2 linked regions of the Caenorhabditis elegans genome follow. The protein of the gene in region 1 purifies or fractionates together with the protein of each later gene. This does not show direct contact. Each region holds a gene or a part of one and is shown on either strand. Other genes may lie near its edges. The genes, in order: ppm-1.H and ugt-61.

What was found.
Region 2: the proteins of ppm-1.H (region 1) and ugt-61 fractionate together in Caenorhabditis elegans (co-fractionation; one large-scale study listed by BioGRID). This does not show direct contact.

What each region holds. Positions count from the first base shown.
Region 1 is NC_003282.8:12,263,402-12,270,436, reverse strand, and holds ppm-1.H (PPM-type phosphatase domain-containing protein), read left to right. Parts: upstream 1-2,114; 5' UTR 2,115-2,130; coding exon 2,131-2,272; intron 2,273-2,326; coding exon 2,327-2,491; intron 2,492-2,540; coding exon 2,541-2,713; intron 2,714-3,084; coding exon 3,085-3,303; intron 3,304-3,347; coding exon 3,348-3,519; intron 3,520-3,761; coding exon 3,762-3,963; intron 3,964-4,014; coding exon 4,015-4,477; intron 4,478-4,742; coding exon 4,743-4,829; 3' UTR 4,830-5,778; downstream 5,779-7,035. Other genes in the region: C42C1.3 (Ovule protein), read left to right, coding at 32-84, 133-303, 351-489, 540-704, 751-843; rpl-34 (Large ribosomal subunit protein eL34), read right to left, coding at 976-1,149, 1,277-1,435.
Region 2 is NC_003283.11:4,740,389-4,746,436, forward strand, and holds ugt-61 (UDP-glucuronosyltransferase), read left to right. Parts: upstream 1-2,066; 5' UTR 2,067-2,131; coding exon 2,132-2,221; intron 2,222-2,329; coding exon 2,330-2,450; intron 2,451-2,751; coding exon 2,752-3,199; intron 3,200-3,245; coding exon 3,246-3,339; intron 3,340-3,775; coding exon 3,776-3,886; intron 3,887-3,935; coding exon 3,936-4,214; intron 4,215-4,400; coding exon 4,401-4,567; intron 4,568-4,631; coding exon 4,632-4,914; 3' UTR 4,915-4,985; downstream 4,986-6,048. Other genes in the region: gtnt-28 (Glycosyltransferase family 92 protein), read left to right, coding at 312-392, 441-749; gtnt-11 (Glycosyltransferase family 92 protein), read left to right, coding at 5,181-5,335, 5,473-5,701, 5,752-5,889, 5,941-6,033.

The sequences.
Region 1 (7,035 bases):
AAATATAAATGGAAATTTTTTAAATTTTGTTATGCAGCGTTTTGTTTTTGGCGGAAAGTTGTGGAAGTTTAATGAAACGTTCGGGTTAGTTGGAACATTTTCAGGCTATAAAACTGCAATCTTTGTATTCAGTTTCAGTTGTTACGATGATTATCCACATGTGGCACCATTTCTCGCAGTAGAACATTTTGCTTCGTTTCCTGTCCATCCACCAACGTTCATTTTCTCGAATGCTGCCGTTTCAAATATATTATCTATGGAAGAAATTAAAAGTGTACTCATAAGATTAGATGAACTAATTTCGTATGTAGTTTTTGAGTTTATTGTGTTTTTAATTACTATGATTTCAGAAGTAACAACCTGCACAATCATCCCTGTCTAATTTCTCAAGCAGGTGCACAAGCAACAATGCGTCTTGCTTCGAAAGATCAACTGCGTTCAGATTGGAATACTTCTGTAGAAATACCTTTTTGTCTATACGTAACGCAGGTTCGTATAATATGCATCTCTTAAACTAATTTTTCAAAATTTAATTCCAGAATGGTGTATGTCCCCGGCAGTTCGACTACGAAGATTTGCATAAACAATCACAATGGGTAGCGTTATTCGAAGAAGTAATTCTGCCACTTGACAAGATGCAAGGAAGTAAACTGTCAAAAATTGCACCACATCAGCATAGTTCTGTCGTTAAAAATGCTATAATGGTAATATTCGAACTCTGGTGTACCTACATTTTGTTTTTTTTTTCAGAAGTCGAAAAGAGAGAAAAAGACGAGTTGCAAGAAGCACTCAAAATCAATTTCTGGCATAGATTCGTCTAGTAGTGGATGCAATTCGTTGTAACACTATATTTTTAATATTATATAACTAAATCTAACTTAACTTACATTTCCCTGTGATATATATATTTATGTTTTGCTCGATTAAACTAGTTTCTTTCATAACAATTTATTGAAAACAACAAAACGAACGAGCTTAGTCCTTCTGGTGCTTGATGACCTTGTTGACGATCTTCTGCTCCTCGACGAGGAAAGCACGGGTAATGCGCTCCTTAACGGCGTTTGGTGAGAGGCATCCTCCGTAGGCTCTGGTGACGGTACGCTCGTTTCTCTTGAGAAGGCGGAGAGCGATTGGGCGAGCTGGGGTGATCTGAAAGCGACAATAATTAATTTGAAAATTCTTGTTGATGTTCAAAACTCAGATTTCAATTTACAATTAAGGTGCCTATATTGTGATAAACTACTTGAAATAAAAATAATTAGAAGTAAAAACGTACTCCGTGGAGCTTGACTCCGGTGTCTCTGCACTTTGGAATTTGTCCTCTCTTCTTGATGTATTGGACAACGAGACGTCCTCCTGGGGTCTTGACAAGACGCTTCTTGTTGGAGGTGGTGTTGTACGACAAACGGCGTCTGTAGGTAACGCGGAGGGACATTTTTTACCTGAAAAATATGCAAGTATTATTTCGAAACAAAAAAATACAGATACGAAAATTAGAGAAAGAATATTTGAAATTATCATTATATGCATGCTAAAACGCCGAATTTCAACTGGAATTAATTTAGCAGGGCTGAAATAATACTAAACACGTAAAATGTTCTTGTAATTCGTTTGAAACACCACTTAAAATAGGAAAACGATTAAAATCTAATTTTTCGACAATTATCACTTTTTGGGCATTTAATAGGCGTTTTTTCATCGATTATGGATTTTACATGAATACGAACATTATATTGAATTTTTAATACGTATTTTGTATGATAAAATCGGTCAAAACCTTAAAAAATCAACAAAAAAGAGTAGGAAAAGGAAAAATTTCTCAATTTAGTGAGACGGCTGTTCCTCGGCGCGAAGACTACGGTAACACTCGTTTACCATGTGTCGTTGCATTCATTTCGCTCGTAAATCGACACAAGAGGAGAGACGGAGTGTCTCTGGCTTAACCAGCAGAATAACGCCGAATCAATAAGAGCTAACGAAGGAAAGAGGGCTTAAAACAGAACATCATTTTCTTCGGAAATGTCTCATCGAGATTTCTATTTTAGTTTTAGTAGATTTTCAATATTTCCTGAATTTCAAAGCGTTTGGAAATTTTAAAAGTATAAATATTTTCATTTAAGAAAGTTAAAGATGGATATTGCTGCACGGGTGATATCCGTTGTCGGTCGAACATCAACTTCTGATCCGTCAACGGCTTCTTCTAGTAATCCACCAAAAGTGGGAAGAGTGATGGATGTCAGTGATGGTGTTTTTATTGGTGGATTCATTCCATGTAAGAATTCTCGTAGTTTTGCAATCTTTTCAATATGAAAGCCTCGAATTCCAGCACTAATCGAAAAACAAAGATATCCATACAGTCGCCCCGAATTTTTGTATTTTTCTGAAGAAGAAATCGCATTATCATCTGATCATTCTGTCCGTCCTGTTCTTTGTCCCAGATTTCCACACCGAATGCCCCTTTATGTTGGTTATGCAGAAGCAATAAATGCGGGTATTATTGAGAAAATCTTCAATTTTGTTGGAAAAAAAATAAAATTTAGGAAAAACTGTCCAAAATGAGGATCAAGCCTCTGCAAAAATGTTAGTTCTGACACAACACCAGGGAAACGAAATGAACGGGTTTTCGTCCGACGAAAAGAAATCTGAAACGAGAAAAAGAAATTCCAATGAAAATGATGATGATCCAATGTTAACGCCTGGAGGAGATGATACCGTGAGCTATCTGAATGTCGTAAATGTGAATTGTAAATAGTTTTTTTTAAATGTTTCCAACTTTAAAAATATTGTAATTTCTCACTATTCTGGAACACGTACTTAAAGGCGCACAGACTTATGCGGATTGATTTCACCACGAAAACAATCAAGCATTTTTTGCAGCTTTTAAAGTTTACAGTAACGAAAAGAAGTTTGCTATAACGAAATCCCGAACAAAAAAATGGCAGTGAAAATTCCAAAAAGTGATGTTTAACACAATTCCCGCGGCAACCTATTCAAATCAATCCGTACGATAAAGTAGAAATTGAATTCCAATTATTAGTTGGCCCCCTCTCTCTTGTTTCATCAGAATATATTTCTCGGTTCCAGGAAAAATCCAGCATGTTTGCTCCACGAGCCGACGGAGCTCTATTCAGTTTATTCGATGGTCATGCTGGCTCGGCAGTTGCTGTTGTCGCCAGTAAGTGCCTTCATGAGCACGTAAAGTCTCGGTTATGTGAAGTACTCGACACTATTCTTCACATGGATCGACATGAGAATTTAAACTTTGGGAAGCACCGATCCGAATCATCGTACAGTATGAGTGAGGTAAACCCCCACAGTGGTTTTCATTTTCTCGTAATCTTTTTTAGATGAGTCGGGAAGACGAAAACCGAATTCGAAGTGAGCATTTGGTGAAAGGAGCTCTAGAGACTGCATTTTTGGATATGGATGAGCAAATTGCACAGGATAAACAAGTATGGAGACTTCCCGGTGGATGTGCAGTTATATCCGTTCTTGTATTTTTAGGAAAACTTTATATAGGTATGTGTTCTTTATTCTAGACGAAAAGTAATTCCAAAGTTTTAGGTGGAGATTTCAAAAATTTTTTTGAACTTTCTGAAGGTTGTCGTAATTTCTTGAAATATTGGAAACTTTATCTAGATATCTAGATATCACAATTTTTCCAAATTCAATTAACGTAGAAAAAATTAATAACACAAGAAAACTATGTTGAAAAACAACAATTTATGAATGTACGAATTCCAAATCTCAGAGTTGTTCAGCAAACGCCGGCGACTGTCGAGCCATTCTCGTAACATCTGATGGTTCTCGGGCACTATCAAAGGATCTAACTCCAGCTTCGGAACGGAAACGTCTACAGGAACTGGCCTACCGTAACCCGGAACTAATAGGAAACTCGTTTTCTAGACTTGAATATTCCAAACGATTAACAATTCATGATTTGAAATCTCGTGTGCTTTACAGGTATTTTCTTGAAAATACCGTGAAGCCAATTGGAATCATTTGGCATTTCAGAGACTGGTTTATGGATGGATGGGCAGTGAAAACAGTGAAAGAATGTGATCTTAGACCATCATTGATCAGTGAAACTTCTCGGAAAAAACGACTTTTGAATACAATTGGAGTTTCACGTGGATTCGGAGATCATCACTTGTTAACTGTTGATGAGAGACTGAGTATCAAACCATTTCTATCAGCAGTTCCCGAAATTTCCGTCACTAATCTGCGAGATATGAATACCCTAACCGATAAAGACGTGGTAATCGTGGCATCAGATGGTCTTTGGGATGTTCTGAGCAATGAGGATGCAGGATTGATTGTCAGAAGTACATTAGGATCAACTGATTCTGCTGATCCTTCTAGATACACCCAGGCGGCGCAGGATCTTGTGGCAGCTGCTCGAGGGCAACAAGCATCTGGAAATCTGAAGAGATGGGTTATGAATACCGGTGGACATGCGAGCTATGATGATATCACAGTGAGTTTTAGGCTTTGATTTGAAGCTAGAATTTCTGTAAACAATTTCCATGTGAAATTCAGAAGGCCCTTTTCAAAATTATGCAAAGAATATTGTGACGATGTATTAAGTTAGTGCACGAACAAATTTGAAATTTTTTTGAAATAAAATTGCTATAAACTGAACCTACCACGCGCCACTTGTACTCGTGTAGGCATAAGGTAGGCATAGGCACCTAAATTTATCTATTCAACTAATTTCAAATAACTTTATGATTAATTTTCAGGTATTTGTGATCCCATTAAAATACTGTGCTGCTCCACCAACTAACATGGAAGATGAGGAAGACGATGAGATGCTGAGTCTTGAGTAATTAGAGCCCTCTCACAAACTTATAATAATAATTTATTTCTCTGGATGTGACACATTTTCTGCTGTCTTTCTTTATTTTTCCCCTTTCTACGTCATTCTTTCACTTATTCTTGGAAATTTTTAATAATCATACTTATTTTCAGTAACTTATTAAAAATTCGCAGTTTCCTCTCGAACAAATGAACTCAGCATTTACTTCTCGATTCATAAGTATAGTCTGCGATTTCTTGAACCGGAAAAATCTTAGTGTGCCCAGCGGCATATCTCTTCTAACAAACTACATATGAAGCTAAGTATTTTAGAAATTTTGGGTAACATTTTTTCGGAAAATTTTCGAATTCAGTTCTGGTTTGCAAAAAATGCCTGCTTTCTTAAGTTCAAGGCCTACGCCTGCCTCGTACCTATCTGCGTGGTAGGCAGGCACAAGGTCCGCACGCCTACGCGTCTGTATACTATGTGATACCAAAATTAGATTTATTGCACATATAATGAATCATATATCGAACTTTTAATTATTGTTTACGAAACCTTTTGCAAATCCCAAAAGGCTTCATTTTTGTTTTCAACTCCCGGCAATGAGAGATCTTTCATCAAAAAATGTGTTCTGACTATTTTGTAGTTCTTGGAATAATATGTGTGTTACTCATAGCAATATTCATTAGAAAAATCGAAAGATAATTTGAAAAAAAATATGAATGTTTGACGTTGGCTTTTACGAGCTTCTCCTTTTGTTCCACTTTGTTGGTTTTTAGTTATCATTAGACTGAAACTTTCTGAAATTAACTTTTTTCGGTTCATTTTAGAAAGAAAATTACCAAATACGAATCCGCCCCTACAGCTTCTTTTGGTATTTGCATAAAATTTTTTCAATATTTTTATTGTTTTTCTCGAATTGTTAACATGTGTTTTTAGTCATTCCAATCTTCCACAAAATTTATGAAAAATGTTTTTTTTCCAATTTTTTTTGCCAAGTTTTTATACAAGTATTTTTAATTTTTCTAACATCAGACTAATAATATGTATTCGCACATAACTACCGAAGGAAATTAGTGTCTAGAACATATATGAATCTTTTCTGTAAGCAACACACGAAACATATAATTTTAGATTCAACAGAGTGTGCTTGATATCAGTCTCAATTTGGTTTCCCATGTGGAAAAAAAACTTTATTTTTTTCGAAAAACCGCAGTAAAATAAAAATTTCAATTCAACTCCCATACTTTTGAGCTTTTGTTGATTTTGATGTATTCTATGGAAATGAGAGAAATTTGTTTTTCAGTATTTCATTTTTTTCTGTTCAATTTTGTTGATTGCAGAGGCTAATAAGATAGAAAACTCAGAAATGTTCTGAGTCAGGAGCCATAATTGTAGTAATAAATACGACTATTTTTTGTCTAAAAAATATTAAACTATATTTTGAAACTATCTCTAGTAAATTAAAGGTTTTAACAGTTTAAGATTAAAAAAAATATGGAAGCCCTAAAAAAAGAAACATGAATTAGCTGATCATTAATCAAATTTCAAACATTGAAAAGAAAAAAACATGTTTTTTGAAATTCATACATATCACATTTTCGTGTAGCTTTACTATCAGAGCCAATTTTTCTTCTCAACTTTCTGTCGCAAATTATCAACTTCCTACGGAAATTGTCTCACTCTGATCAATAATAGGCCATAAAACTATTCCAATGACCGAATTCCGTGAGCGTACTTGGTATTCATATTTTTAGAATATTTTTTAATCCGGCTATAATCGAGTTAAGATATCAACTCAAATCAAATATCACTTCCGGAAACTCCCACAAATTTAAAATGACGCGACATGAATATAAGTTCTTTCTTTTTTTTCACACGATGTCTTTGAACTAATCTCATTGAAATGGGGTGTCTCCTTTTTTCGACTTTCGGGTTTTACCTCTTTTCTGTCTGAATCTTGTGAGCGGAGTAGATACAATTTCAAAAATCCTTTCATTTTTTAACCGCTCGAGTCTGACAAGACGGAAAAGCAATACCACATGGTACTCCCTTAATTAAACTGTTTCCGTCTACCTCGATTGTTTCCAATTGCCACATTTTTTACTGTTTTCTAATGTAAGTTGATTATATTGTTTCACTCGAATTGTAAATGTTGCTAATATTTTGATAAAATCTGAGATAAGATAATACAAGTTTTCATATTTATGCAATTTCTAACACAACTATTAAAA
Region 2 (6,048 bases), on another chromosome or scaffold:
GGCAATTTGCCTATATGCCGATTTGCCGGAAAAATTTGTATTATCAAACCCGTTTTTTGTTGAAAATCTGAAATTTTTTGACCAAAAAAAATATTTCAAAAACTTGCAGTTTTTTCGATGATTTTTTTTAATCTTTCACATAATGTTGGCAGTATTTTAGTTGGTAATTTTATAAATTTCAAACACAATTTCAACGTATTTTTTGAATTTTCTGTGCCCAAATCTGCAAGGGCAACTGAAAAAAATCCTGATTTTTTTCGACAAGATTAAAAAATTTCAGAATTTCAGTGATACCAAATTTTCATTTTTAGACAATTTTCAACAGCTCCGCAGTAGACATTATTGTTACACATTCGATTCGACGATTTATTGGAAATGAAACTACAATTCGGGTAGCTCATTTTTCCCCATTTTTTCTTCTTAATTCTTTCCCTCTTCAGGCCAACGGATCTCTTCTTCACTATCGTCACAATAGCTACACAGATCCTGCAAAGGAAGTCCAGAAGCCTTACAGTCTATTCACTTCTTACCCAAACCTGCACATCAAACGAATCCAAAAGACACTTCGAAAAGTGTTCGGCTCATCGATACCACCTTACAACTCAACATACCTACACGTTTTGAATCAGTGTATCACGAAAATAGTTGGAGAGGGAAAGTGTAGGAGTACGGTAGAGTACTGTAAGCAGTGGATGGAACCATTGACGGATTGGGTGTACGATACGACTGAAGGCATTTTTGTAGTTTAACCTAAATTTTAGTTTGATAATAAATAGTTGTTATAAATACTAATCTATTTTGGCGGCCGACATCTCACAAGCTTGTGCCAGCGAGATGTCGGTGGCTTTTCTTTTAACTACTGTGTTTACAGGCAGGTCTAAAAGCACACGTTGTTATTCCGAGTGGGTCTTGCCACGATCTCAGTCCTACTGATCAAGTGCCAAATTTTACTCATATGTTCATTTGATGAAAAAAAAAGAAATTTATGAAGCTTCAAATTCTAAAGAGCCTATATTTTAGTTTCTTAAAATAATTTTGTAGTGGAAAATAAAAAGGTGCATAAACGCGCCAATTTGCCACAATTTCTCAACCAACTTTAGACAACTTTCAGCAGTTTTCAGTGTGAATTTTGTACAGCCCCTCAATCAAGGGCTATCCTCAACTTTTGCTAAACTTTGGCATCTCTGGATTGGCCCAGAAGCTCTAATATACTTACCACGTGATGCCAGAGTGTCTCATTTTGGCTTGATCTACGTAGATCTACAAAAAAATGCGGGAGAAGAGACGCAGAGTTTTTAATTGATTTTGCATGGTTAAGAACTGCTAACGTCACATATTTTTTGAGTAAAACATTCCCGCATTTTTTGTAGATCAAACGGTGATGGGACAACCTGGTACCACGTGACTGAATGAAGCGTTTAGCAGTTGGTCAGATCCCAAAATTTGATCACAATAAAATTGTCCTTTTAAGAACAAAAATCTGTACCGAATAAGTACAGTTTGTCACACACCACAACTTTGTCTCGCTTACTACGTCTCTTCGTTCCCAAGAACTTCTGGTCAATTTAATTTCATGATAGAAGTTTAATGATGTTGGTTGAGTTTCACCTGAATTACAAAATAAATAAATAAAAATCTAATATACTAGTTGGACTACAAAGGAAAATTTACCAAAATTACCAAGCTTTACTTTTTTAGATCCAAAATGGCCCAAATCTACCGAATTTTGTAAAAAAACGTTCTGAAAATTTTTCAGGAAAAAATCGTATTTTCAGTATAAAAACCCAAGTCTCAGATTTTGGCACTCTCTTTAAACCTAACCTTAAACCTAACTAAACCTAACTTTCCAATATGATAATCTAAAATCCTTGAAAGAACTTTGGTACAACTTGCATCATTAAAGTTATCTGGCCAACGATCGAAAGTCCAGTCATATTTACTTCTACACATAAACCACAAATCACTATAGACCACAGTTTTCTATTTCTCTTGCTGCGTCTCTATTGTCTAACATTAAAAAAGGCTGTCTCTTCTCTCCAGACGCAGATTGCCCAACATTTTTGTGTTTACCCAGGTACTGCAGGTGTATAAAAGAACATCTATTTGATCTCAGTTTCCGTTATTTCCAACAATGAGAGTATTGTCGGTTTTTCTGGTATTAGTGGGAGTAGTTTCAGCATACAAATTTGTTTTATTTGTCCCAAATGTAGCTAACAGTCAGGTTAGTTTCACTTGATTTTTTAGTTATTGTTTTAATTCGGAAATGTAAATTTTCAAAGTACCAAAATTCAGTAGAAACCGATTTTATCAAGCGAAAAAATGTATTTAGATTCAATTCAACGCTAGAGTAGCCGAGGTTCTTGCAATTGGAGGTCATGACGTAACTATGCTAATGGTGAACCATATGGCTGGATTTGAGTCAAACGTAAAAGTACCGAAAGGTGTTAAAAGTGAGTTGATATTTGGCATACGACAAGTCGGAGAATAATTAATAACCTTTTATATGGTGCTAAAATAATCAACTAATATAATAAAACTTGTCAAAAATTGTTGGAAAGTGTTTATGTTGTTTCAAAAAGCAGTGAAAATGCATATTTGACTTATTTTATTGTATTGGTACGAGCATGCAACAATGCTTTAAATTCCTCAAAAAGACCACATTTGTGGCAATAAAAAGGAATAAGTTGCTAGTAATACATGTTAAAGTACTGAAACTTTGTGTTAGTGCTTTGTATCAAAACTTTCTTCCAGCCTATCAACTCGACGCTGCTGTTGAAGGAATCACAAAGCAATCCATCGAAAAAGAACAATCAGCCATGTTATACAAGAACATGGGGCTTAAGGATATGCCTCAAATGATGGCAATGTTCAGTCGAATGGGAAAGCTACTTCAAGATGGATGCCGAATCATTCTTCGCAACAAGGAATTCTTGAAATGGCTGGAAGATGAGAAATTTGATGTCGCATACACTCATATTTACTCTACGTGCCCACTTGGATTAATTCATCACGCCAAAATTCCGTCTTGGGTCTGGCTTAACAGTGGTCCACTAATGGATTATGTATCACAGGCAGTTGGAGTTCCGATTCTTCCCAGCTATGTACCGCCCGTATTGATGGCATCTCATGATGAAATGGGTTTTGTTCAAAGAACAAAAAGTTTTATCGGTCATGTGCTAATGAGTGTTATGCACAGAAGGTATGAATTGAGCCAGGATTTTGAAAAAAAAATCTAAAAATTTCAGAATCTCATCCGACGAGGAGACAGCAATCTTCCGAAAGGAATTGAATGATCCGAGTTTTCCTCATACCATGGATATTGGAGCCAAATGCCCACTGGTAAGTGATATGGTCAGCTTCTCGAACAAACATAAAAAGTGGCAAACCATAAGCATTTTTTGCTATAATTGCACCTATTTTGTATTGAAGTTAAATAAGAAATTTGGTAGTTGCGTTAGAACAAAAGTTCAGATTTTTGAAAAACTTGGCAATATGCCAAAAGTTTAGCTGAAAACTTCAAAAAATCGAAATTTTTTAGGAGTGTTAACGTAAATATATTTAGGCTAAAACATCACGGACGACAGTTTAACTTCAAAGACTTTCATCTTTGTAAATATCAACCAAGTTGCCGGTTGCCGAAAAATTGCCGAAGTTTCGGCAACCAAATGTTGCCGGTTGCCGATTTTTTTTTGGGTCCGGCAACTTCGGCAATTGCCGGTTGCCGAAAATCTTGGTTGCCGCACAGTCCTGATACCTAAATAACTACTTTTTCCAGGTAATTGTAAACAGCAATGAACTCTACGATCTACCACGTCCCACTTTGGCCAAAGTGATAAATATTGGAGGGCTTGGTGTCGGATTTGACAGTGCTAAACCATTGACTGGAGTAAGTCCACTTTTAAAATCAACATGTCTCAGCATGTTCAATTTTCCAGGAGTTCAAGAAAATCTCTGAAACTGGAAATGGGCTTATTGTCTTCTCATTTGGCTCAGTGGCAGCTGCCCATGAAATGCCCTTGGCTTGGAAAAACTCGCTTTTGGAAGCTTTTGCATCTCTACCAGACTACCAGTTTGTCATGAGATATGAAGGAGATGATCTGAAGGATAGATTGCCGGAAAATGTGCATTTGTCGAAGTGGCTTCCACAGAAGGATCTACTGTTGCACGAGAAGACAAAAGCGTTTATTACTCATGGAGGGTACAATTCTTTGCAGGTATGTGCATTTTGTTAACCCTGTGATCTGTAACTGTAATATTAAAGTTTCTGCTAATTGACTGTTTTTTTGTTTAACGTTTTTTCTAATTTCATTCAGTTGTGAAATTTCACTTAAATTTTTATCAAGAAATTGCAAGACATGCCTGTAAACTATCAGCAAAAATTTTAAAATTCATTCTTCCAGGAAGCAATATCCGCCGGAGTCCCCCTTATCACTATTGCTCTCATGGGCGATCAGCCCAAAAACTCCCAAATCGCCAAGAAACATGGATTTGCTGTGAACATTGAAAAAGGAACAATTTCCAAGGAAACGGTCGTTGAAGCTCTTAGAGAAATTTTGGAGAATGATAGGTTGGTTTTCCGAAATTTATTTTCAATTTTATTTTCAACAACAATGTCAATATCTAACTTTCAGCTACAAACAAAAAGTAACCCGGCTCTCCGCGATGGTTCGAGCTCAACCAATGAAGCCGGCTGAACGTCTTCTGAAATGGTCAGAGTTTCTTGCGGAATTCAAGACACTTGACAACCTGGTGCCAGCTGGACAGAAGCTTAACTTTTATCAATATCATTCTCTTGATGTAATCGGCTTCTTGTTCCTAGTAGTTTTAGTTGTATTCTACATTGGCTTCCTTATTCTGAAAGCAGTTTTCAGAAAATGTTGCCGTAGAAGAGAGACTAAAACTAAGAACGATTGATTGAAGGTCTGATTTTGAAGAAAAAAAAGCCATTTCGATATTCGGGTTTATTGAATAAATATATCAACTTCAACTTATTGATATCAATAATTTAAAAAAAAATTATTAAAAAACATTTCAAAATTCATACACATTTAAAAATCAACTTTCTATTTAAAACTAACGTTTTCAACTCATACAATATTCAAAACCCTTATTATTATTTCCTTTGTTCTGGGTTTTAGCTCCTTTTTTCAACACTCTTCTCTGAGCTCCTCAAATTTCAAATGATTTCCATTTTGCGAAAACTATTTAAATTTCTTATATTGATTACGTCTTTGTTTTTATTTACAAGATTAATTTGCAATTTTTATCAAGTTGAAAACAAAAATGTGAATACTTTTCCAATAGTGTTTTACAAAGATGCATACGTGGATCTCAGGTGAAATTTTGAAACTGATTAAAAAATTTATAGTGATCGGTTTTTTTTTTAAATTTAAAGAACTTTTTTTTTTGAAAATCTTAAAACATTATGATCTTCATGGACATACTATAAACTTGAATTCAATTTTTTCTCAGAATGTCTCCTCCAAAACTTCGAGTATTTTCCCTAAATCACTGCCTTATCAATGGAAGCTTTTTAATAATCAGATTCGAAGATTACAAACAAGAAAATATAAAAATGCTCGGCGAGCCTATCGAAGCCGATTGCCCATGGTCTTGGGCTCCAAATTGTTATTATAGTTCTCATGTTTTTGAGGTCTCACTTTACAATGTTCCGTTGGAAGAGCTGCTGAAAATTCGAAAAGTAAGCCCAGCTAGTCTAATTTTGAAAAAAAATGGTTTTTTTTATTCTAGGTAAATATTTTGATAAATGGGAAAGTCATAGATCTGAATATAAAACAAGTAATGCCTAAATTAAAGGATGGTCTAACAATTTGTGTCCAACCTGTCTATTGGTACAACCAATTTCAGAATATAATACTTTTCATTGAGGTTTGTCACTCACTATCAGTAGGTGTTCATAATTCATATTTTCAATTTAAGAGTTGGAGAAATCAAGGAGCTTCACATTTTATTGTGTACTTTCATTCATCTACAAAAGAAGTCAAAATGGTCCTAGATCACTACCAGAAATTGGTTGATTTTAATTTT